Linked DNA regions of Drosophila melanogaster. The protein of the gene in region 1 interacts with the protein of each later gene in a pairwise test. Each region holds a gene or a part of one and is shown in the gene's direction. Other genes may lie near its edges. The genes, in order: Lim1, CG32548, Paris and Mdh1.

Region 1 (5,523 bases):
TTAAAACTGTTGTGCTCCTGCTTGTTTTTCGTTGCTACTGCGATTTTTTGATAACTGACATTTGTTGGCAAAGGTGGAAGGAAGGAGGTGGGTTAAGTGGAGATGAGGACAGGACGCCAAGTGAAGCTAGAGGGGATGCAAAAAGGAAGCAGAGGAACCTGAGCAGTTACAGAAGCCAAAGGTAAAGGTAATGTTAAGGCAAAGCCAAAGGTAACGAGCGCGGCTGAATGAGATGACAGATTAGGGATCACAATGTGCTGTGGGTGGATCCCCAGCTTGGCTCTTATCCTCTATTCCTTATACCCAAGACATTCTCCTTTTCCTTGTGTTCTTTTGGGGTCTTGAATGTAAATAACTTGTTGCTTGCCAAAAAGTGTATTATAAATATCTTATTCCTCGAGAGTAGTTATGTAAGTGTTTTTGCTTCAATATCCTTTTTATTCCATTCCTATTATGTCCTCATCCCTTTTGCTCTTACTAAATTTGGGGCAAAGCAGTTTTCAAGGCCGTCAAAGATCAACTGATTTCGATAACTTTTCGATAGCGCAGAACAAGTGAAAAGTGACACGCACACGCAAAAACAAAAAGCAAGCACTTCACAGCTTAACACCCTAATGTGCAATATTTTTGACTACCCCACATCCACGCACACAGCAAACGGCGCTCTTTAACCCACCACAGCCCCCTTATTTTGTGTCGAACATCTTCTTCTTCCTATCGAAGTGTGAGTGAGAGGGAAGACCGTAAGGAGTGAATGAGAGCGGGAGCCTCCTCCCCGACCTTTATAATGCGTTCTCTTTTACTCTCACTTATTTTATGCATTTTTTTTATTTTATCCAGTTTTGTCTTTTCTTGTTGTTTGTTTAGATCTTTGGCATTTTTGCAATTTGAATCCTATATTATTTCTTATGGTTTTTATTGGTTTTTGTATTGGTTTATTTTTACGATAAGTGTCTTGCTATAGATTTATCTAAATCGAAAGCTTATTAAAATTGCATTTGTTAAAGAAAAAGAAAAAGATATAATATTTTGCACAATTTTAAATGTTTTTTTCTACTAATTTTTTGTTACTTGCAATTTATCTAACACTTTTTCTTTGCTTTTTTTTCTTCGCCTCCGTTTTTTTTTCTTGCTGTCTCCAGTGCGTTAAAACGCCAAAGGGGCGTCCCTCTCCAGCTAACGCCCCCACCACCCCCCGCCACTAGTGCTCTCCCTTTCGCACTGCTAACGACAAGTGACAAACACAAGTTGCAGAAGAGGCAGCCGAACAAAAACAACAACTAAAAATAAAAAAGAAGGAAAGAAAAAAGTTTTTGCGACCAACAGTTGACAGTCGAAAAGCATTTGACATTTTACCTTGGCACGCACACAAGCACCGCCAAGTGCGAAAGGGACAAAACGCGGGCAAATGTCACTTTGAAAAATGCCATTGGCCCGGCCAGCGAGTGTGAGCGAGAGGGCGCGACGGCCGGAGAGCGTGAGAGCGAGAGAGCGCCATTTTGCGCATCTCTCAATGAAGCAACAATAAAAAAACCAGTTGCTTAGCAACGCCCCCTCTAACCGCAAAAAAGAGAGCTGGAGAGCAGGAGAGCCAGTGTTGCAACAACAATGGGCAAAATGGAAGGGCAACAACAGCAACAAAAACCAAAAATATCCTTACAGGAACAACGCCAGCACCAATCTTGAGAAAAGGATCAAAAGCCCAAGATCAACAGAAGAATGTGTGTAGAATTTAAAAAAAAAGTGAATTTTTGGATTTTTAAAATCTTATGAATCTAACAAGCATCTAGTAAGGCTAACTAAATATTTAGTTATCATGCTAAATATATCAAAATTTTCAAAGAACTTATATTGTGTATTATCGAACAATCACCTAAATTAAATCCTAAAAAAGGAAAAAAAATTAAGATTTCTTGATATTTTTTTCCAATTGTTATGAAATTGTATATCCTTTTCCAAAATATTTTTAATAATAATCTAGATATGCATACCAAATATTCTAGTCATATTTTTTCCATTTTTTTAGAAAACGTTTTGAAAAACAATTTTTTTATTTAAGAATAATATGATTTCTTCATGCCCAACACGAGAGAGCCAGGAGAAGCGACGGAAGCGAGAGCGAGAGAGCCTGCGACTCCATTGCAGCGCCGCCAGCAGCGCAGTCGGCGTCGCAGCAGCCCCAGCTCAACATTCGCTGCATCTCGCTCTGGCGCAGGCGAAATATGCGAGCACTGCTTGCCGCATTCGGTAGCACGAGTGCGAGCGATGCGCCTGCTAGCATCTCGCTCGCACCCAGGCGCGCCATTCGTCGCCGCTTCGGCTCGCCGTTCGTGTGTGTGCGTGTGCGCTCGGCTGGCAGCTATCGGTAATCGGGCCGTCCGCTTTGCCGTCGCGTTTGCCGTTTTCCGTTTTCAGTTTTTGTTTGACGTTCGCGTGAAGCGCCCGCAAAACGCAAAGCGCACGAGGCAACGCTCGAAAAAGGAGCCAACGCAGCCGTTTACCGTTAGTCAGCTGTTTACCGTTCCGCCGCGAGATCGAAAACCGAGAATTTTTGCCGTTGTTCAAATTTTTTTGCAAGTGAGAATCTTGAACAACAAGAAGAATATACAACACATAAATACAACAAAACCAAGGAATCGCCGAAAAGCCGATAGTGCAAAGTGTTTAAAAAGAAAAGAATCAATTTCATATACAACAACTAAAGAAATACTGGAATATAAGGCATAATAGAAGCGGAGGAAGTTTCTTCAACTCAAAGAGGAGCGGAATTTCGCGCTTTGTTTTTGTTTTGCCAAATTTGCCGCCGGCACACACGTGCTATCCCCCTCTTGCTCGCACCTTGCCACCCAGTCTTTATGTGCGTTAACCGTTAAGTGTGCAGTTGGGGCCCGCTCCTATCTTTCTCTCCCTCTCTCTCTCGCTTCCGCACCCGCACACACACACATATATCCACACCCACGCGCGCCTCGTTCACATACGCACACACACGCGGGACTTAACCCATTGACGGCCCCCCCAAAAAAGCAGTCACTCTTAACCCCCCCGAAAAAAAGAAAAACTCCATCCCCCCGGCATCAAGATATTCGACAACAAAATTCTCACCGAGGCCTCAAAAGCGCCCCTGAGGGCCGTCGCACTGGCGTCATATCTGGGCGACGGGTTCGCCGCCCTCGGTAGCCGCGCCCCCCCGCCCAAGGACCATCTGATGGCGTTCGGGGCGGTACTACACACCAGCCAGCACAATATCGGTAAGTGATCGTTTTGGGGAATTTAGGCATTAAGCGGTTAAGGGTCCAGGAAAACATAGAAAATCTGGGGGGTTTGCAGTGAGAATCCCAAACAGGCAAGTTCTTAAGGTTAGTCACATATAGGATACTGCAATCGAAATCATTTCATCCAAGAATCAGCACTAAATCTTTGAGTTGTGCTTGTAGTTCTATAGAATAATATCATTGGGAAGTCAAGGATGAAACATTTTACAGATCGAAAATAGAAGTTGTTTACATCTAATCTAGATTAAGTAATATTCATGATGTCCTCTATCGAAATAGAATGAAAACACCTGTTTGTAGGCTTCGTATAATATTTAAATTGTTTATAAAATCTGTAGACGAGTGATCAATGACACCAATGACACATTTCAAAAATACTTTTAAAAGATGGCAAAGAAGTGAATTTTCGAAAAATGTACTGACAAAAAAGTGGAATCTATTAAAAATGGCTTGATCGCTATGCCGACGGGATGTGGTCTTAGATTTTCAACTGGTGGTAGAAAGACATAAGAAAAGTAGGGTCGAGTGCGGTCGAAAGTCCTTAAAAGGAAGTCAACCCCTTGAAGGATCGGCGAAATGCGATCCCTAGGATGGTGGGTTAATACAATACCGCTTGCCCGCAATGGGTTAAGATGGCCAAGGAGTTTTTAATGGCGACGGCTGGGCAGCAGCAAAGTTTTTGCACTTTTGAACTTGCTTCCCGTTTTTAGGGGACCGCCGGCGAGGAGGAGAGGGGCGTCTAATGCCCCGTCGTCCATCTGCCGTCTCTTTTTCGCATTACCATTTTGTATGCTTTTGAAGTTCTTGTTCATCTGTTTTTGTTTCGGTTTTGTTTTTCCTCCTCTTGTTTTCCCGTTCGTTTTTGGACTGAAAAACTTTTGCGCAGTTGTCAAAGTTTTTCAGCTTCTTCTTCTGCCGTTCTTCCTCTACCCCATCTCATTTTTTTTGGCTTTTGTTTTATTTCATTTGCTCTCTGTCAAATTTTCACTTTTGCTGACTGTTTAATGTCAGGAACAAAAAAAAAAAAAAAAAAAAAAAATAGTAAAAAGGGAGCAAAAAGTTCAGAAATGAAGGCTCCCCTCTAGTTTTGTATTTTGTGATTAGTTGGTGAGGAATATTTCGTTTATATGTATGTATGTAGCTCCCCATCAATTTGAATAACTATAAAAAACATTTATAAACTACAAAATTAAGGATCTGCAGAGATTTAGAGACCGAACACTCTTTTCGAGTATATTTTGGATTCTTATCAAAAGAAATGAAATGAGAAATGATTTAAGTACATATTAGTAAAAATGTAGTAAGGTATTTTATACCACAAAAAATTTTTCAAAAATATTCTAAAATCCTCAATAGCTTCGTTTTCGAACCAGTGAGGTTCGATGGAAATTGCAACTGCAAATTCTCCATTTAACTTGTTGACATTGGACATACAGCGGCCGACACCTTACTTCCCCCATAAATTGGCTAGAGAACTGTTGGGGTTTTTGGGCTTGGGGCCTGCAGCTCCGGGGGCGGTTCAAGTCAAAAGCTGTCGACATTTGACTGGAAAATGGATGTTCAGGAAGCCGTAGACCCGCACAGTGGGCCACCTTACGACGGCGGACTGATGCCAAGTGGAGTCGTAAAGCTGCCAAGCTTTCTTCTTCCTGCTTCTACTGTTTCTCGGTTGGATTTTTTTGTTTTTGTTTTATTTCTCGCTCATAGACATACCCATTAGCTAATGACTAAGTGTTGGCAGTTATGAACTTAACTTGCATTTAGTTGGGGAAAACTACAAAGTAAAGTACCACTGAATATAACTCGGCTTAATGAAGATAACTTTTCCGCGCAGTAGCTGTATCTTTTTTCGAAAGTTCGTAAAGTAATTTGGAATCAGGAAAGATATCCAATTTTTTATGGTATAGTTAAGGTTTTGAAATGAGATGGAAAAAATGTATTGGAAATACTTAAGATAGGATACCAATTTAGGTCGTTGAATCTTTGGTAATGTGTTTATTCTTAAGGAATTTAGTTTTCAAAACTTCAATAGAATAGGGTAACCCCTCGTCGTTCAATTACCAATATCATCGGCCATTTCTCTGGTCGACTGCTCATTTTTCTTCGCATATATCTTGGTGGCAGCATCTTTTCAATTTTTATGTTGCTGCTAGCGAACACGGCAGCAACATGCAGCAACAGCAACGTGCAGCAACAGCAACGTGCAACAGCAGCAACGTGCAACAGCAGCAGCAGCAGCAACAAAAGCTCA
Region 2 (7,646 bases), 9.6 Mb from region 1:
GAGATACTAATTGACAGCATCGATGCATTACACTTGTGTGATCAGTGTAAATAACCATTTGACCTGCAAAGCGTTTATTTATTTTGTTTTTCTCTGTGCTTTTTTGGGGATTCTGGGTCTCGGGTTGGCGCGCACCTCAATAAAATCCGTGGAAATGCAGGGCCGGGCACCGAAAAATAATACGCGCCTGCTGGGAGCAAATGTATGCCCCGAGAGGAATGTGAACGGGAATGGGAATGGGAATGGGTCCGGAATAGGGTCAGTGCGCGAGTTCAAAAGTTCAACGCGGGGCCACTGACTCAGCCTGCGGATGCGACTCCTCCTCCGGTTTCTCGGATACGGTTGTTTCGGCTGCTGCGTCGTCCACCCGTGACCTGACCCAGTAAAATGATTAAGTGACGTTATTTAGCAGCTGGCTGGGCTGGATTTACTTGACTTGCGAGACTTCCACTTCCACTACCACTGCCACATTCATTTCCACTTTTACCAGTTTGTCTCCATTTGTGTTCATCTGCTTTTTGGGTCTCCTTCTTTTTTGCATAATTTGCGCTGTTTATTTTGATGGCTTATGGTGGGGTAATCGTAAAACGACAAGCATTTCATTCGGAAAAGTCAACTTTAATGGAGAAAACACGCCCGGACGGAAACGGAAAGTACGACCCCACATGGATAGATAGGACCCAAGCCCCAAGGAATGCAGCCGGAGTGAAAGGAGAAGTTATGGCCATTACCCCGGGGCACATTAAGTTAGGAACTCGGTTTGGGTCACTTTATTGGGGTAATGCGGGTCAGCAGGCACACAAACACACAGACAGACAGGCAGACAGTCGGGGACAGACAACTTTCAATCGTGTGAAATGCGCTTTCAATTACACGCCGCATAATGAAATGCGCAAATAAATTTATGACGATCACGTATCACGTATACGCAACGGTGGCAGGTAAGCGCGCGCTTAAGTGACCATTACGCACTAACCACCACCAGGTCTTTGCTGCTTTCATAATAATCGTTGCCCTGCCAACGGGCCAAATCTCATTGGGCCATCAAAACTGCATTCCAATTGAGCCGATTTTTCGCTTCTTACTCTGGCCTTAACCCCGCTTCCGTATCTTGGTGGCTAAAGCCATTCGTACACAGCGACAAAAGCCCACTAGTCTTCTCACTTCATCATGCTCTGCGTTTAGAGAACGATGGGTCTGAAGGCGCACTCGTTTTCGCACCGTGTAGCCGGCATTTGCAAGTTTCGCTTTTCGGACATATCGCGCATTCCGGGCACGTTCCTATAAACAACGTTTTATGCCGGTGTTTATGTTTAGTTTGCCGTTCGCCCAGCGGGGGCGGATTGTTATGTAAGTGCCAAAGAGCATATTCAATTTGAATTGGAATTGGAATTGCCATCTACATCTACACCCTCCACTGCACACTCCTCCCCGCCGTTGTTATTGCTTATTCCATATTCCGCAGGCAGACACCAAAGTTTAAAGAAAGTTATCCACGCAAAATGTGAAACAAAACAATGCGGGTGAAAATTAAAATAAAATATATATCGAAATTGAAATTATGGAAAATTATATTAAACGCGACAGGGTAGGGCAGCTTTGTCAAAAAAAAAGAAAAAAACTTGAAGGCACAGCAGTTCAATTGGATTACATTAGATATCTTGGATTTCAGGCAACGATTTCGAATAGAAGCTATAATACTTTCCAACTGCACAGAGAAAATCAAATGACACCTTTTAAAAAATAATCTAATGGATGATTAGATTGAACCTATTATTGAGAAGTTAACTTCGTGAAATATTTCGCTCTAATGATAAACTGAAGTCATTATTCTATAAGTGTTATTAAAATATGATTTTTCAGGTGCTTCATAAACCGAAAATTGAGACTATTATTATCTTCAAATTTGGTTCAACTATTATTTACTTCACTTTATTCACACATTTAAGACGTAAAGAGTACAACATTTTTTGGGCCAAACTTTATGGCCAAAATATGTATGCATGTACGCTGTTTTTGGGGCCAAAAACTGAAGTGGCAGAGGCAGAGAGCCAAGCGTGGACATTCCCCAATCGAAGGCGGTATAAAATCGGTGGACAGTCGGCGGGCGCTGCACAGTCAACCATCGACGTTCGCGAGTCGCGTCCGCTTAGCTGATAACGATCCATAGTCCGATTGCACGGTTGCTCGGACATACTGCCAAATCAACGGGAGACGAAGTCGAGTTCCAATACCAGGCCATCCAGCCATCCAGCCATCAACCATCCATTAGCCTCACCACGTAAATCATGTTCGCATTGGCCTTGACGGTGGCGGCCTTGGTGCTTGCCGGCCAGCAGGAGGTGTGCCGCGCACAGGTCTCCATCCACACGGACGCCAACTCGAACTCCTACAGCCTGAAGACGCCCGGAGTGCAGCAGACCTTCACCCGGTACTACGGAGGAGCGGCCAAGAACCAGCAGGTGGAGCAGCCGCAGCTGCAGCAGCCGCAGGAGCAGGAGCAGTTGGTAAGTACATCACGGCAATGGTGAGGGGTGAATCTACTATTGAAACTCTGGGAAAAGCACATAAAGTTAAACTTGAATTTTAAAATTGCTTAAGAAAACACTGGATAACAATTATACGAGGGAAAAAGTTGCGGACACACTCTTCAATTTAATTTAATATTTAGCCACATGGCGTTGCTTTAGAGTAGTACTATGAATTGGAATTCGAATTGAAATTAACCGCCAAAGTTTTGGATGTTCGATGCTTGTTCGGGTAGAAAGGGCGTTCCATTGAATGTCCCGTCACCATACTCCGAACTTTGTGGGCCCTGCATATTGTTTTCGAAGATCTCCTGCATTTGATCGACGGCGTCCATCACATCAGTGGGCATATTCTGCAGGGAATTTGGGTATCAAGGATATACGATACGAGTACGAAGTATCTTACCTGTGACCAGACGGGCGAAATGCTCCAATGGAGCAGACCTAGACTCAGGATTAAAATAGGCGATGTCATCCTGTGATGGCTTCACTTCCCAATAATTGATTGCCAAGAAGAAAGCCAGCTATTTAACCTGTCACTTTCTAGTTATTCTGCTTAATTACGCGAAAAACAGATATGTTTTCATGTTTACATAATCTAGATGCAACATCTAGCATCTGGTTTAGTTAGCATGCGAGGTTGTTATTGGCAATTAGCTTAGTGGCTTACAGATCTAATTAAACCAGAGATGAAAAAATCTCATTTTTGTTGGTTGGAAAAGCATTTTAAGCCGAATCATTCAGTGCCTAATTGGTTATCATCCGCAGATGTATACCATATTACTTAGTATTGTCATTTTGTAGTATTCAAAAAATAATTATAAATACCCGCTTGGAAATGTACCTAAATCAAAAGCAATCAAGTTGGCTTTCAACGGATGATATTTCCCAAATCAAATGAATGTTTTAAATTCTTTGCTACGCTTTATTTGCTCGAAACGAAAGTAAAACGCCCATTTCAGCGGTTAGAAAATACTTCATTGGGTGAATCGAGATCCGTGGTGTCGGAGAAAAGGTTCTTGAGTTCCTCAAAGTAGTTCTTAAACGAGTCCACCATCGCGTTCCAGGCTTGGGTTATATTTTGTCCAAACTCCCGCGCCGCATCGCCGATCCGCTTGTCCAGCCTTGGATCGTCGGGATAGACCAAATGCGGTCGCACATCGTCGTACTCGTTGGAGTAGTCCAGATCGAACTCGTCGGCCCAAGTTTGGGCCACCAGAGCGAGGGTCAGGGCCACGATTAGTAGGGCAGAGAATCTGGGTCCGGAAATCATTTGGCCAACTGTTGTGCCCAGCCACCTGAATGCGCCTTTTGTACCCAGCCTTTTTAATTCAATCAGATTTCGACCAGACACGGAAATGTTCGAAATGCATGTCGAGATGCATCTCATCTGGCCCGGAAGTGCCCACTGACCGTTGGCTCATCGTGACTCGGCTCGTTTCCGTATCTCCCATCTGGACAGCCTTCAGTAGTCGAGTTGCTGTGGTGACCCCAATGGCCTTCTCCTCGGACCACTTTCGATCGGATTGCTCAGAAATGACAGTTCGCTTTTTGCTTTATTGCCTCTGCCTGAGGAATCTTTATCGATTGGGGGTGACTCTTCGGCGGTGACCTTTTTAAAGAGCAACAAATAAGGTTGAGTTCTTAAAGGTATGCCACTTTAAAATGGTAACCGGATTCCAAGTTTTGGGTCACCTTGGTGATATGTTTAGTTGAGCTCACAAGCATTTGTAGTTTAAAGACGGAGTACACGTTTTTTTTGACTCTAATGCCGTTTGGGGTCACCTTTTACCAAAGGTGATTGGCCTTAATTGGCTACTACATTGATAATATGATGGGGTCTTAAAATGGATGTAATCTATAGTACATATTTGAATGAAGACGTAATCGTAATGTTTTTGGCCAACCCAGAAAACATGCCGCTCAACACAGTTTCCGGTTTTCAGTTGATTTTATTGCACTTATAAACAAACAAAAAAAATACACTCGATGGTGGTCGTCAGGGAGCTCGGTGATTCTACGCCGTGGAGTTGGCCGTTTCGGTGATCTTCTGGCGCACCTGCTGCACCACATCCGCTACGTTGTTCACAAACGAAAGCCACATGGCCTTGATTCTGGTGCCCAGGCCCAAGGGATCCGCTCCGTCCATATTCTGTGTCACTTCCATGCCCTTCTCCTCCTGCCGTCGTCGTCGCACCAACTTCTTGTTCTTTTTGCCAGTGGTCTTGGGACTCACTCGGGATCGGGAGGCATTGTTGGCGGCCCGCTTTTGAGCTCGTCTCCGTCTGGCCTCCACGTCATCGTCGGCGGACGCCGCTGTGGTGGCGGCAGCGCTCATTTTCCAGAAGCAAGGAGCGCGTTTGAGGCGATGCAGGCTCCGCCGCCTTCGCTTCCGACGACGATCCTCCTCGGATGAATCGGTGGCAATGGGACGTATGGCATCTCCATAGCCAACGGCCGTTTTCGAGTGCACGGACATCAGGGGATTGTCAATGTCGACGTCGCGGGAGATGGCGGCGCCACTCTGAACTGCCTCCGCTATATTTCCGGCCAGAGACATGGCGCCCATGCCCAGCGACTCTAGCGGATTCTGTGGACCTGGCCTGGCCGCAATCATGGCCAGACCCGCGACAACCAGGAGAAGTGCCAGCTGATGGCGATTCATCGTTTCTAACTGTAAGGTTGCGGCATTGCATCCGCGCTTTTTAAGCCATCGAATCGCGTGATTCCCTTCGATACATATCGATTTGAATCCACACCATGGCACCGATGGCTAGTAGAGATCACAGTAGGCTTTCGGATTGGCCCGACGACAGCTGTCAGGTGTCACCGGACTGGTTGAGCTATCCAGTCAGTATCACTTGCTCGCTCAGTCGGTTCAGATCGGTTCGTTTTACAATTTTTCCCGCTACAGACTTCGTAAACAAATTGTATCAAAATCTGAATTTGAAAATCAATTTTTGGCTATCCACACTCGAGCTACACAACCTCTCGTCAAAACTTTTAAGTTTACATCGCGACAAACGGAACAACAGGGAATCATGAGATCCAGCAAAGTTCGTGGGGGCAACGCCAGTCGATTGGCTGACGCGGAGGGACAGTGGGGAAAGGGATGCCTGGGTTCCCAGCACTCAATTATCAAGAATCACGGGCGTGGCCTTTCATCCGTGAGTAAAGGAAAGCGTGTTATAAGCTCAATTGTATGAATATTTTACAAAACGAAATCAAAAGTTACACATCGAAAACGGCCTACTACTTGCGCACATTAGACACTCATCTAAATATCATTTAAGCCAGTTCAGAATAAGGATAAAATTGTCCTGGTTTAGCTTCCATTCTCATCCGTTTATTCCTCTAACCTATGCAGCAAACTCCCACGCAATTTGGTGGATTCTCGCCGTCGGGACAGCAGTATCCTGCCGTGTACTCGCAGCCAGGATTCCGGGCCGATGGTAAGCTGAAGGTCACGCCCAACTCGCTGCTCCAGCAGCAGCAACAGCAGCAACAGCAGCAACAGCAGCAACAGCAGCAACAGCAGCAACAGCAGCAACAGCAGCTCCTGGCGCAGCAGCAGCAGCAACTCCTGGCCGCCACATCGCCGCAGGTAGCAGCTGCATCCGGACCAGGAGTGGGCGTTAGCGGTGGCGTGGTCAACATGCCCAGCTATGCGGACCAGATGCACGCCGCCTTCCTCGATTATCAGCGCCAACGAGCCGAGTTCGAGCAGCAGCAGCAGCACCTGCTGCAGAAGCTCTACCACTACTATCCCGATGTATCCGGCGGCCTAACATCACCGGCTCATCAGATTCAACCCCAAACCCCCCAGATAGCTGCTCCCGCCGATGTGGGAGGCGCTCCGGCGGGCGTGGCAGCACAGAACGCAGCTGGCCGCTTCGCCTACCGTCGGCCGCAGTTCAGCAACAATGGCCTGCAGCCCGAGCGCCTTGCATCCGGATCCATTGTGCCCGGAGGTCCAGTAAGAGGAGGTCCAGTTGGAGTCATCCCGGGAGGAGTGATCGGATCAGCGCCTTTGCGCTCCAACAGTCTGGGAGGGGGAGCAAGTGGAGACTTCTACTCCACGCAACAGCACATGGGCTTCATGCAGCAGCAGCAGCAGGACGTGCTCCGTGACCAGCAGCAGTCGGTGGCCCATCAGTTCGCCACCAGCCAGTTGGCGCCCACCACCCGCCAGAGCTATGGGATGGCCGTTCCCATGTCCTCCGTGCTGGGATCCCCCACCTACCAGCAATCGCCGGACGTCTCTCATGTGAGCTTCTCAAGCGGCAATCTCAACTACAGCTTCTAATGATGATGAGCTGTTATTCCAAGGACTTCCAAAACTAGTATTTTCATTTTTTTTTCACACACCTTTTTTTTTGCGTAAATTTTCGTGGTATTTGATAAGAGGAATTGTTTAGGGCAAGCAAGAATAAATTTTGTAAGTGATGATAATTGTTGGTTTTTAGAGGGGTGGATGCATTTCAGGCTTATCAAATGGTGATTATGGCTTACGAAGTTACGAGGGTTAGATTTGCCTGAAGAAGAGTTTGAATGTGCACTTCTGGCCTCGAGTTATGTACTCTAGTTAGTTGCTTAATTAGCCCAAATCCATCCTATATGACCCAACAGCATTTCATTACTAATAAACCATCGGCACGTGCTCCGTGGAATCTAGCTGGTCAGTTAACTGGCCCCACTTACCAGATTCATCATGGCTAATGATGGGTCATTCCTAATCGGCAACGCTCATCTTTAACACGCCGCCGAGCTCACGTGCAATAAATGCATTAATATTGCTTTGAACGGACCGCCTTCGCATTGGCACACAATTGCTGCCATTGAATCTGTTTATAGAGTTAATATAATCCGTCCCATGCCATCGTACATCCCACTGGCGGATCCATTTATCCGAGCAGCCAGTCGCAGTCGCAACGGCGACGGACTTCGATTGTTGGGGTATTATTAGACATCCATGGGAATGGACATCCTCTGCTCGAGTCCACCACCACTTGCACCGCCGAGTGGTGCATCAATGAACGGAGACAATTGCCCTGGTTGGCCGGCGGCTAATTGGGACGAGGATGATGCTGATGGGAACGAGGTCACTGGATGGGTGGT
Region 3 (4,422 bases), on another chromosome or scaffold:
ACCATCTCTATTCGACTGTGCCAGCGGAACGACGACTCCGATCACGGAGGAGAACAACGTGCTGTACGCCATTGAGCGCTCTGAAAGTTGCCATTCCCAGGGCACGCCGACGGTGAAAAAACCCATTCCCATTCGCGGAAAGGCGGCGCTGGGAATCGGGCTGGACAAGCACAGGGAGAGAGCCACGTTCCTCGAGAAGCTGCAACGGGCCGCTGTCTCTCCTGGCACAGTTTCGCAGGGTCCAGCGCCCGTTTTCTCAGCCCGCTGCGGGCAGTGCAATTTAGAATTTGACTCAGTCTCCGAACTGGAGGTGCACAACCACAATGCCCACAGGGGCAATGAACTGAACGCCGACGACGAAGCCAAAAGGCGTCAAATAATCGCCCTCTTCGAGGATGATATTTAGGTTTTACAAAGTCCTGTTTTTCATGCCGGTGGCTCAATCAAACTAGTAATCATGTTGACCACTTTGCATCTGTGTTTTTGTCGTATTGTATTTATTTATTATTTATTTATTTTATTCTGTTTCCATTAGTGATTTAGTTTTGCTTAGCGGCAATCCATGTTCATTTACAATACATTCTCGAGTACTCAAAAGTCCGTGGCTTTATATTTATATGTACTCTAAGACCAATAAAGAGATTTGCAAGACTTATTCTTAACCATAAGCCTATGCGTATATTTGCAAGCTATTCAGTACCAGGTTGGAATCTGCTACCTTCAAGTGCAGACAGTTCTTGAGCAAGCGCATCGCGTCCAGGTTGAGATCTGGATCTCGCAGAGCGAAGAGCTGGTTTAGGGTTTGCACAAGATTCTGCGGGTCTGCCAGTGCGAATATTAGACTTGTGTCACCTAGGGCTACCAGATTGGTCATTACACGCACGGCGTAGATTAGGCACAGCCGGTCGGCTGGCGATGCTAAGGTGGCTTCAAAGAAACGCACCAGGCATTCGGCCTGTTGAGCATCTAACTTGTGCTCCTGTGTCACTATTTCCAGTTGGTGCACTATGTACATGAAGTACTCGCTGGCAGGCTGGCCGTGGAGCTTCTCAGGCAGATTCTGGCCAATGTACCTTCGATCCTCGTCACTCACATGCTGCGGGCAGCGGGTGGCCACCAGGGAGAGGCAGATGGCCGCATCTTCTTGGCAGCCATTGGGCTCGATGTAGAGCCTCCACAGCTTGGGTACTATTTGCATTTGCAGCAATACGCTGCCGGCCTTGTCGCATGTGCCCAGAACGTTGGCCAGTGTCCACAGGCAACTGCGCTTGAGGCGTTCGGCCTTGCCATCAAGGTAGGTGACCATGTAGCTGCCCGCCAAAGTGACAATCTTTTCGGAGACATGGGCCTCGCCCAAGGAAAGATTACACAAGCACTCCACGGCATCTGTCTGTCGTTGAATGTGAGGTCCTGAAAGTCAAGTCAACCTTTTTATATAAAACTAAAGCTAATGAGGGTGCAGTTGGTTACCAGTTAGCTCCTTAACCAGAACCTGAATGGCGCCAGGAATAGCTGCGAATGCATTGATGTTGTCATTGCTCTGGAGGAACCCCAGCGACAAGCGGCACAGATCCTCGGAGGTGGCGTGCTTGCGACGCTTGATCCTGCTGGCCATTCCAATGACGTCCTTGGTGCCCATCTCAAGAGCCGCCACTTCCTGCTTAACCTGTCCAAGTCCAATGCGCAATGAGTCTTTCGCCTTTATGCGGCACTCAACACGGTGATCCTTGGCATATGCACGAATCTTGTTTCGCAGAAAACTTCCCTCCCCAGTTGTCGTCACAAAGTCCATTTGTTTAAATTTCATGGAATCCTTAGCAAGTGAGCAATATTCCGATAATAATAACAGATTATCGATAACTATGAAAGGTTAACAGCACTTCACTCATCAGCTGTTAAAATTGTAAACAAAAAAGGTACGCACTTGTTTGTTTATATTTTATTTGGAGTAAGTAATGCTTATTTAATTTCAGGTCAATGGTGGTAATCTGAGCCCGGAATCGATGGATAAACATATTCAGTGGCACCCAGGAACCCGATTTTTCATATGTGAATTTATTTTTATACTGGCAAAGAAGTTCGGCGAGGAGATTCATTTCCTTTTTGTGCCTTTTTAATTTAATTTTTCTATGATTTCCACGGAAAAAGTCCAGTGCTCCTTCTGTCCAAAATTATTCACCACTAGCTAGGCGAAAATGTGAAAAAACTATACGAAGATAAATGTTTGTTTTTCCAAAGAAATTTATTTCAATTTTATATTCTTCAACAGGTAAAGGATATCGATATCCGATAAGAATTTTCCCATCAAAACTTGGGCTGACCACCACAGGGCGACCCTTGCAAGTTTGCGTTTATCTCAGCTGTTAAATATGGTAAACACACCTTAGTTTCAAAAATCATCATTTTGATAAATAATTTGAATTTCGAACATCGATAATAAATCGATTTAGCATATGGCCCAGAGAATAGGGTGCCCAGTGTACTGTGCACAATGTGAAGTTTAGCTTATTATTATTTTGAATTGTTCATCAAGGCAATCGCATTAATTTTCAATTAATTGGGATGTATGAAACGGATTCCTAAATTATAAAAGATTGCTTTTCCAGCTATAAGCTATTTAGTATATACATCAGGTAAGTAATATAGTCCTTCATAAAGTTCAGCCTAATAAGTATTGTTTATTACAGGGATAATGGCGGAAATATGCCGAGTTTGTATGGATATTTCTGGTAAACTCGTTAACATATTTGACGCCAGACGAAGAACCAGAGTTTCCATTGCCGAGATGATCGCGCAGTGCACCGGATTCGAGGTCAAACGTGGCGATTTGTTTTCGGAAATGATATGCCCACAGTGCTATGAGGACGTAAAGAGCGCGTATGGGATAAGGCAAACTTGTGAGGAAAGCCACCAGTTCTACTGCCGAGTTCGCGATGAAGGCATCGAGGATGCTTTATGCGCCTTGCTCGAAGAAGAAGACTGGGAGATTTCGGAAGACGAAGATGCGCGGATTGATTCTGCATCCGCTGCTGATGACGATGGGAAAAGCGACAGCAAGAAGGTAGCATTCGAATGTCGAGAATGCCACAAGAAATACCAGCGAAAGGGAACTTTTCTGAGGCACATGCGAACACACATGGACGGACAATCCTTCCCATGCCCCTACTGCAAGCGGAACTTTAGACTTAGAGTCACTCTCAAGGCGCACATGAAGACCCACAATGCAGCGAAACCCTACGAGTGTTCCCACTGCGCCAAGACCTTTGCGCAGCAGTCCACTCTGCAGTCGCATGAGCGAACTCACACTGGCGAACGACCATTCAAGTGTTCACAGTGCTCAAAAACCTTTATTAAATCATCCGATCTCCGGCGTCACATCCGCACACATGGCAGCGAGAGACCGTTCAAGTGCTCCAAGTGCACGAAAACATTTACGAGGAAGTTTCACCTTGATAACCATTTCCGTTCTCACACTGGTGAACGACCATTCAAGTGTTCCCACTGCCCCAAGGCCTTCGCTATGAAGCAGCACCTCAAGCAGCACAGCCGCCTGCACTTACCAGATCGTCCATTTCGCTGCTCCCACTGTCCCAAGACTTTTCGGCTGAGCAGCACTCTCAAGGAGCACAAGCTCGTACACAACGCTGAAAGAACATTTAAGTGTCCTCACTGTGCCAGTTTCTATAAGCAGAGAAAAACACTTGCTAGACATATCCTCGAGATACACAAGTGACCACTACTTTAAAAACACTTGGAAGACATATCTTCCATGTGCACTACTTTAAAATGGACAAAAATGATTTTGCTAGATGATAAAATAAGCTAACATATTCATAGGTATTGTAAGAATAAGGCATAAAATTGGTTGGTAATGAATATGCCTATTTTGATATGTTTTATGATGGAATAAAATGTTATTTATATTTGATTGAACCAAAACAAAATTAATTAATCGACTCCCTCTCACGCTGCCAACACTGGCCATTTCTCGCATATCCAACTACAGATGATGATCAGCTGTTTGTTGTTTATGTGGGAGCGGCCTGAGAAATTGTAACAAAAAAATTTCGGAAAAGCTGAAAAAATGAACAATGATAATCCGAATATAGTTTTCAATCCCCTGATAAGCTCCATCCAAAAAGTAGTGCTCTATGAGACACGAGCGGTAAGAAATCACCTCCAGCTGACCTTTTTTTGACTAATCACATATATCGCCATAATTTCAGCGCCTCTATTTGGTGGGCAGCAACAATCGGGAGACTCGGTTTCGCCTCCTGACCATAGACCGACTTGCCCACAACCGGCTGAGTATCGAGGAGAATGCCAACGAGTTTAACAGCCTGGAGATCCGACGTTTTGTCGCTTCCCTTTCGGGTTCGCCCAAGGTGACGTCCGCTTATGGCGTCCTTGGATTTGTGCGCT
Region 4 (5,464 bases), on another chromosome or scaffold:
TGAAGTCAGCTGGATTCTCGGGATACTCCTTTCGGCATGCCGGACACAGCTTGTTCTCATCCGTGCGGATCCTATGCCAACAGAATCGGCAAATCTGGAAGCAATAGCACTTGAATACGCTGCTGATAAGGGTGCTTTAATGACAGTATGTACCTGATATCCGCAGGTACACGGAAAGAAGGTCAGATCGTCCACCTCAAGCGGCTCCATACACAAAGGGCACTCGACTGCATCATCATTGCTGCTCAGGCCGTTCATTTTCAGGTGATTTGTTGATTAGTGATGAAGTACTCGCAGTTGTAATTTTTATAAAATTGTTGATAATGATGAGAACCAAGCTGTAGAAAGTAAATAAAATTTATATGTATAAATAATATATATATATATATATATTTGATTAGGATGAAGTTTTGTGTGTAGATTCTTAAATCTCAAGGATAGCTTTTGTAGGATGGATTTTCATCAGATTGGTATGAACCTGCATTGAAATAAGAAGAATATTCCCTTGTCTTGTACTTCTAAACTATGCATATATGATTTTGTCTACCTAAAACACCTAAAAAAAAGGAAGGCATGCGATCTTTATTAGATGAATCACCCCGTTATTTTGCACACTACGAAAAACAAGTTGTGGACATTTGGCACCTGTAGCTGACCACTTTAGTTAATATCCATATTTAACACTTTTTTTGATAGTTGCGATTTGTGCAAAATTGTTTACATACTGCCCATTGTATTCGTGGTATTGTTGACTTTATGCAACCTTTGAAAAAAGACAATTTAATGCGACCCGAAGAAGGTGTTTGCCGTCAGGTAATTTTATTGTGTATATACACACACACGCATATGCCTACAACGCAGACAAACAAACACAAAAAGTATTTTTAAATATGGATACCTTTTCATAACAAAAATCAAACCAGCTCGGAAATATACGCACTACCTGCGTACATCAATAAGTTCTCAAATTTAAAACGGAAGCTCTCTTTAAAACACAATCAAAAAGAAAGTACAATTTTCAAGAGTTTAATAACCGAACATGTGTGTGAGTATGGCGACATGCAAATACGTGTGGGTATTAAGCAAAATTACTAGAATTTGCATCGATATTTGCGTATGCATTGTAAAAGCACTTAATATGTGTACATCAGCAATTTGTTAATCCACTATATACGCACACATATGCGAGTGTTTATGTACATAAGCGTACATTGTTCACGCTGCACTTATTTACCAAACCACAGCTGTGATTTATTGTTTATTAATTATGGCAAATCACGAACTCGTATAAAAGGGTAACGAAAATCGATTTTTAGACAATAACAAAAGGCTGGTTGGAAAGGAAAACGGCAAATGTTTAATGTACATAAGCAAGAGTATATATACATACACATATGTATGTACACGTAACACGTATGATTGTAGGTGTGATGTAGGTTTTCTTTATTCACTCTGAATAGCTGATGAAACGACGTTGCAATGGTTAATTGTGTTTTTGAACGCTTTTTAATTTTTATAAATACTTGGTAGCAAACGTATCAAACGAAAGTACTAAGGCTAAAAATAAACGCAAAGTAAACGAATGGATTCGCCAAATTAAAGACTCCAATTTTTTCCACAAGAAACATTCGATTTTTTTCCACAGCTCAAACTATCGATAATAGCAAGCGAAAAAATCACTTCACACGACTGCATTTGCGTATTTCAGATATGAAAATATAGCTAGGTACTAATTTTGTATGTGTAAACAAAGTGACCAAGAATAATGCAAAGAAATATGATATTTGATGCTTTTTCTGCAAAATTTTGTTGTTTACATTAACTAATTTAATAACTATATTTCTATTAATTTTTCATTTATCATCGTTTTATTTATTTATATATGTATTTACTTTTTTTTGGCAACTGTAAATATTAATAACAATAAGAGAACTCCTTAACTCTTTGTATTATTTAAAAATTTAGTAAATTTGTAAGGAGCAACATAATCGATTATTTTGCCAAAAACATATTGCGTTGGAGTCACGGCTACTTTTATTCAAAAAGTAGTGACTGGAAAATAATTGTGAAAAGTAACAGGTTCCCAATTGGCGATCCCTATTTACGTTTTTACTTGAAGTTCGTCCGTGGAGCGTTGCACCTGTGAAATTCTAAAATGGTAAGCTTGCCGGCGATTTCTCGCTACGCTCGTATAGTATATATCATCAAATTATTATTAATAATCTGCATATTTGATTATCAAATGTGAAGAATATGCATACATATGCATTCAAAGTGCCGTACACAATAATGTGTAGTTATGACGGTATGTGTGATTGGTCGCAATAATTTTTCTGGAAATTTAACATTCATTTGACCTCTCTTCATGCTAATCTTAAAAACCAAAAACCTTAGTGACGTCAATTCGAACGTATGCACAAATGTTGCATTTTCAGAGGCCCCCAAAAGCATGAATTTATTGCAAATGCGAGCTAATTGCCAATTGACGGCGATAAAAATGTTGTTTTCATGTTTTAATAGCTCTTGCCGGAGCAGATAGAGCTTATATAAACCGGATGATTGGAGGCGGTGAAGCAAAGTCCATGCAGTTCAAATCTGTCATATCTTATCAAAAATGCTAAATGCTCCCAGGGGTTACGCTTCCAATTGTTTGGAAGTTAAAAACTTCTTCAATGACAAATATATAATATAAAAATATAATATATGTTATGTTTAGTAATTCCCGTCTTTAGCTACATTTTACTGGAAACTATGCCCTGTGACTTTTCTTTAGGGCAAAACATAAATAGGGGTCAATTGCCACAAGTGGCCTACTTTTAGTGCCCTTAGGAAAGGATTAACTGGGATTGCGTAACGAGGATGGGCGGAAAATGCACTAGCAAGCAAAAATCAAAGCACATCACTTATAAAATGTTTTATTAAATCTATAACTATTGAAAATGCCAGCTCAGAGATAAATGGAGAGGAAATTTAAGAGTTCTAGCTAAAGTATAAAGTATAAAGTAAATTCGTTATCTATCGTAAACAACAAATGCAAGCTGATAAAGACACACTTCAAAACAGTAACAAAAAACCTGGTCACGCATTTGTTTATTTTCAGCTATCATATTTGCATTAATTTTGCTGAAATTGCACTTAAATGGGTTTTAATTCGGAAATGGCGAGCTGGATATATACGAAGTATTTTGTGTAGTTAGCAGTTTTCGCATATATTTCCTCGCCGCTAAGCGTCTAAAAATAAAATATAGATCCAAAGCCAAAGGCTGGATGAAAAATTCGCCCCTTATTACAGTATAATTAGTTTAGCTGCATCTAAACATAGCTAAGAACATTCTTGAAATAAAATACGGAAAATGCATAAAGAAATGGAAAAAGGAAGATGAAATACACTTAAAGGAATGTTCCTAATCGAGTGAATATATTTTCAGGCTGAACCAATTCGTGTTGTGGTGACCGGAGCCGCTGGCCAAATCGCCTACTCCCTGCTGTACATGATTGCCCGCGGCGAGGTGTTCGGCAAGGATCAGCCCATCGTGCTGCACCTGCTCGACATTCCGCCCATGGTTGGTGTGCTCGAGGGCGTGGTCATGGAATTGGCCGACTGCGCTCTGCCGCTGCTGGTCGAGGTGGTGCCCACCACCGACCCGGCTGTTGGATTCAAGGATGTCTCGGCCGCTTTCCTCGTGGGCGCCATGCCCCGCAAGGAGGGAATGGAGCGAAAGGATCTGCTGTCCGCCAACGTGAAGATCTTCAGGACCCAGGGCCAGGCTCTGGACAAGTTCGCCAAGAAGGACGTCAAGGTGCTGGTTGTGGGCAACCCGGCCAATACCAATGCCCTGGTCTGCTCCTCCTATGCGCCTTCCATTCCGCGCGAAAATTTCTCGGCTATGACTCGCCTGGATCAGAATCGCGCCACATCCCAGATCGCCGCCAAATTGGGTGTGCCAATTTCTGCTGTTAAGAACATCATTATTTGGGGCAACCACTCCTCCACCCAGTATCCCGATGCTGGACAGGCCAAGGTGACCGCCAATGGTACCGTTAAGTCCGTGGTGGATGCGATCAACGATAATGGCTACCTGCAGGGATCCTTCGTGGAAACCGTTCAGAAGCGTGGAGCCGCTGTCATTGCGGCCCGCAAAATGTCATCGGCCATGTCGGCGGCGAAGGCCGCTTGCGATCACATGCACGACTGGTGGAACGGCACTGCTCCCGGCCAGTTCGTCTCCATGGGTGTCTTCTCCGACGGCAGCTACGATTCGCCCAAGGATGTGATCTTCTCGTTCCCCGTCGAGATCAAGAATAAGCAATGGAAAATCGTCTCTGGCCTGACCCTCAGCGATTTCGCTAAGACAAAGTTAAGCGTTACCGGCAAGGAGCTGCAGGAGGAGAAGGACGAGGCTCTGTCCGTGCTGGACTCGAATGTGTCCAACTTGTAATGCGATCCTTAAACGTTAATTACTAACATCATAGTTGTGCATTTAGGAACAAAGTTCATGGCAATAAAAGTTTTGTAAATAGCTCTGAAATGGTTTTGTTTTGTGCAAGTTAATTGTTGCTAGCGATTTGAACTATAAGATTAAAGGCTTAATGGCTGATAAACTAAATAATAGACCGTTGAGTTTATAGTTGTTGTGATTTCATATTTTATCTACCAGTTTGATCAGTATTTTTACATGTATATTTGGAAGGCTACGTGTATAATACACATGTCAAATACACAAATGTAAAATTCCTTGGTGGTCTGTGATTAATAATTAGAGTTCAAATCAAATCTTAATGAGGTAAGCCATTGCGACAGTCTGATAACTTATCATTGATAACTATTCGGGTAACGTAAAATTTGGGCAAGTCACAATTGTTTGACCGTTTTTGAGTTATAATCTCAAACGTTTATAGATCTACGAAAGACAGACGGACATTTAAAAAACTGAAATTATACAAATTACTTATAGTTTTTAAGCCCACAACTGACAACTATCTACTCAAATCAGCAGTGGATCCCCGAACTAAAGATCCTTAATATCAGATTGAAACCTCTGGCAGCAAAAACCAATAAATCGACAGCTTAACCATGTATTATTAGGTATAAACATTATATTATACCATTTATTCATAACGAAATCAATGAAGTCAAGAAGTCTAAAGATTGTACAGGTAAATTGTTTCAATGAAGTACGTAAGCGGTGTAAAACACATACGAAAGCTAAGAAATGATCGGTAAAAGTTCGACTGAAAACCATCGAGAAAGTTTTATGCATTATATAAGAATTCAGTGGCTTAACGATTCTGCTGCGTTGTCACTGTTAAATAAAACACACATTCGGGGAAATCAAATTGGCTTCACTCTGCAATTTCAGTTAAGATTATAATGGCATCACTCGCTTAATTCCGATTGCCCTACCCTAGCGCGAAATTATGTATATAATTAATTAAATGATACAACACGTGAACGTGTCTCTTT

Evidence for each region.
Region 2: the proteins of Lim1 (region 1) and CG32548 interact in a two-hybrid assay, tested with the Drosophila melanogaster proteins (one large-scale study listed by BioGRID).
Region 3: the proteins of Lim1 (region 1) and Paris interact in a two-hybrid assay, tested with the Drosophila melanogaster proteins (one large-scale study listed by BioGRID).
Region 4: the proteins of Lim1 (region 1) and Mdh1 interact in a two-hybrid assay, tested with the Drosophila melanogaster proteins (one large-scale study listed by BioGRID).

The regions. Positions count from the first base shown.
Region 1 is NC_004354.4:8,802,689-8,808,211, reverse strand, and holds the start of Lim1 (LIM homeobox 1), read left to right. Parts: upstream 1-2,407; 5' UTR 2,408-3,205; coding exon 3,206-3,248; intron 3,249-5,523.
Region 2 is NC_004354.4:18,435,051-18,442,696, reverse strand, and holds CG32548 (uncharacterized protein), read left to right. Parts: upstream 1-2,115; 5' UTR 2,116-2,288; coding exon 2,289-2,507; intron 2,508-2,620; exon of another isoform or gene 2,621-2,722; coding exon of another isoform or gene 2,723-2,881; intron 2,882-2,934; coding exon of another isoform or gene 2,935-3,003; exon of another isoform or gene 3,004-3,030; intron 3,031-3,436; exon of another isoform or gene 3,437-3,486; coding exon of another isoform or gene 3,487-3,801; exon of another isoform or gene 3,802-3,829; intron 3,830-4,463; exon of another isoform or gene 4,464-4,545; coding exon of another isoform or gene 4,546-5,193; exon of another isoform or gene 5,194-5,207; intron 5,208-5,396; exon of another isoform or gene 5,397-5,569; coding exon of another isoform or gene 5,570-5,695; intron 5,696-5,895; coding exon 5,896-6,834; 3' UTR 6,835-6,978; downstream 6,979-7,646. Other genes in the region: CG43841 (uncharacterized protein), read right to left, coding at 2,723-2,881, 2,935-3,003; CG32551 (uncharacterized protein), read right to left, coding at 3,487-3,801; CG6290 (uncharacterized protein), read right to left, coding at 4,546-5,193.
Region 3 is NT_033779.5:4,461,154-4,465,575, forward strand, and holds Paris (parkin interacting substrate), read left to right. Parts: upstream 1-2,457; 5' UTR 2,458-2,633; intron 2,634-2,687; 5' UTR 2,688-2,692; coding exon 2,693-3,733; 3' UTR 3,734-3,922; downstream 3,923-4,422. Other genes in the region: CG15435 (uncharacterized protein), read left to right, coding at 1-406; CG15443 (uncharacterized protein), read right to left, coding at 671-1,410, 1,471-1,807; FIG4 phosphoinositide 5-phosphatase, read left to right, coding at 4,085-4,165, 4,227-4,422.
Region 4 is NT_033779.5:10,392,909-10,398,372, reverse strand, and holds Mdh1 (malate dehydrogenase 1), read left to right. Parts: upstream 1-2,040; 5' UTR 2,041-2,155; coding exon 2,156-2,158; intron 2,159-3,428; coding exon 3,429-4,439; 3' UTR 4,440-4,599; downstream 4,600-5,464. Other genes in the region: Cnot4 (CCR4-NOT transcription complex subunit 4), read right to left, coding at 1-94, 154-258.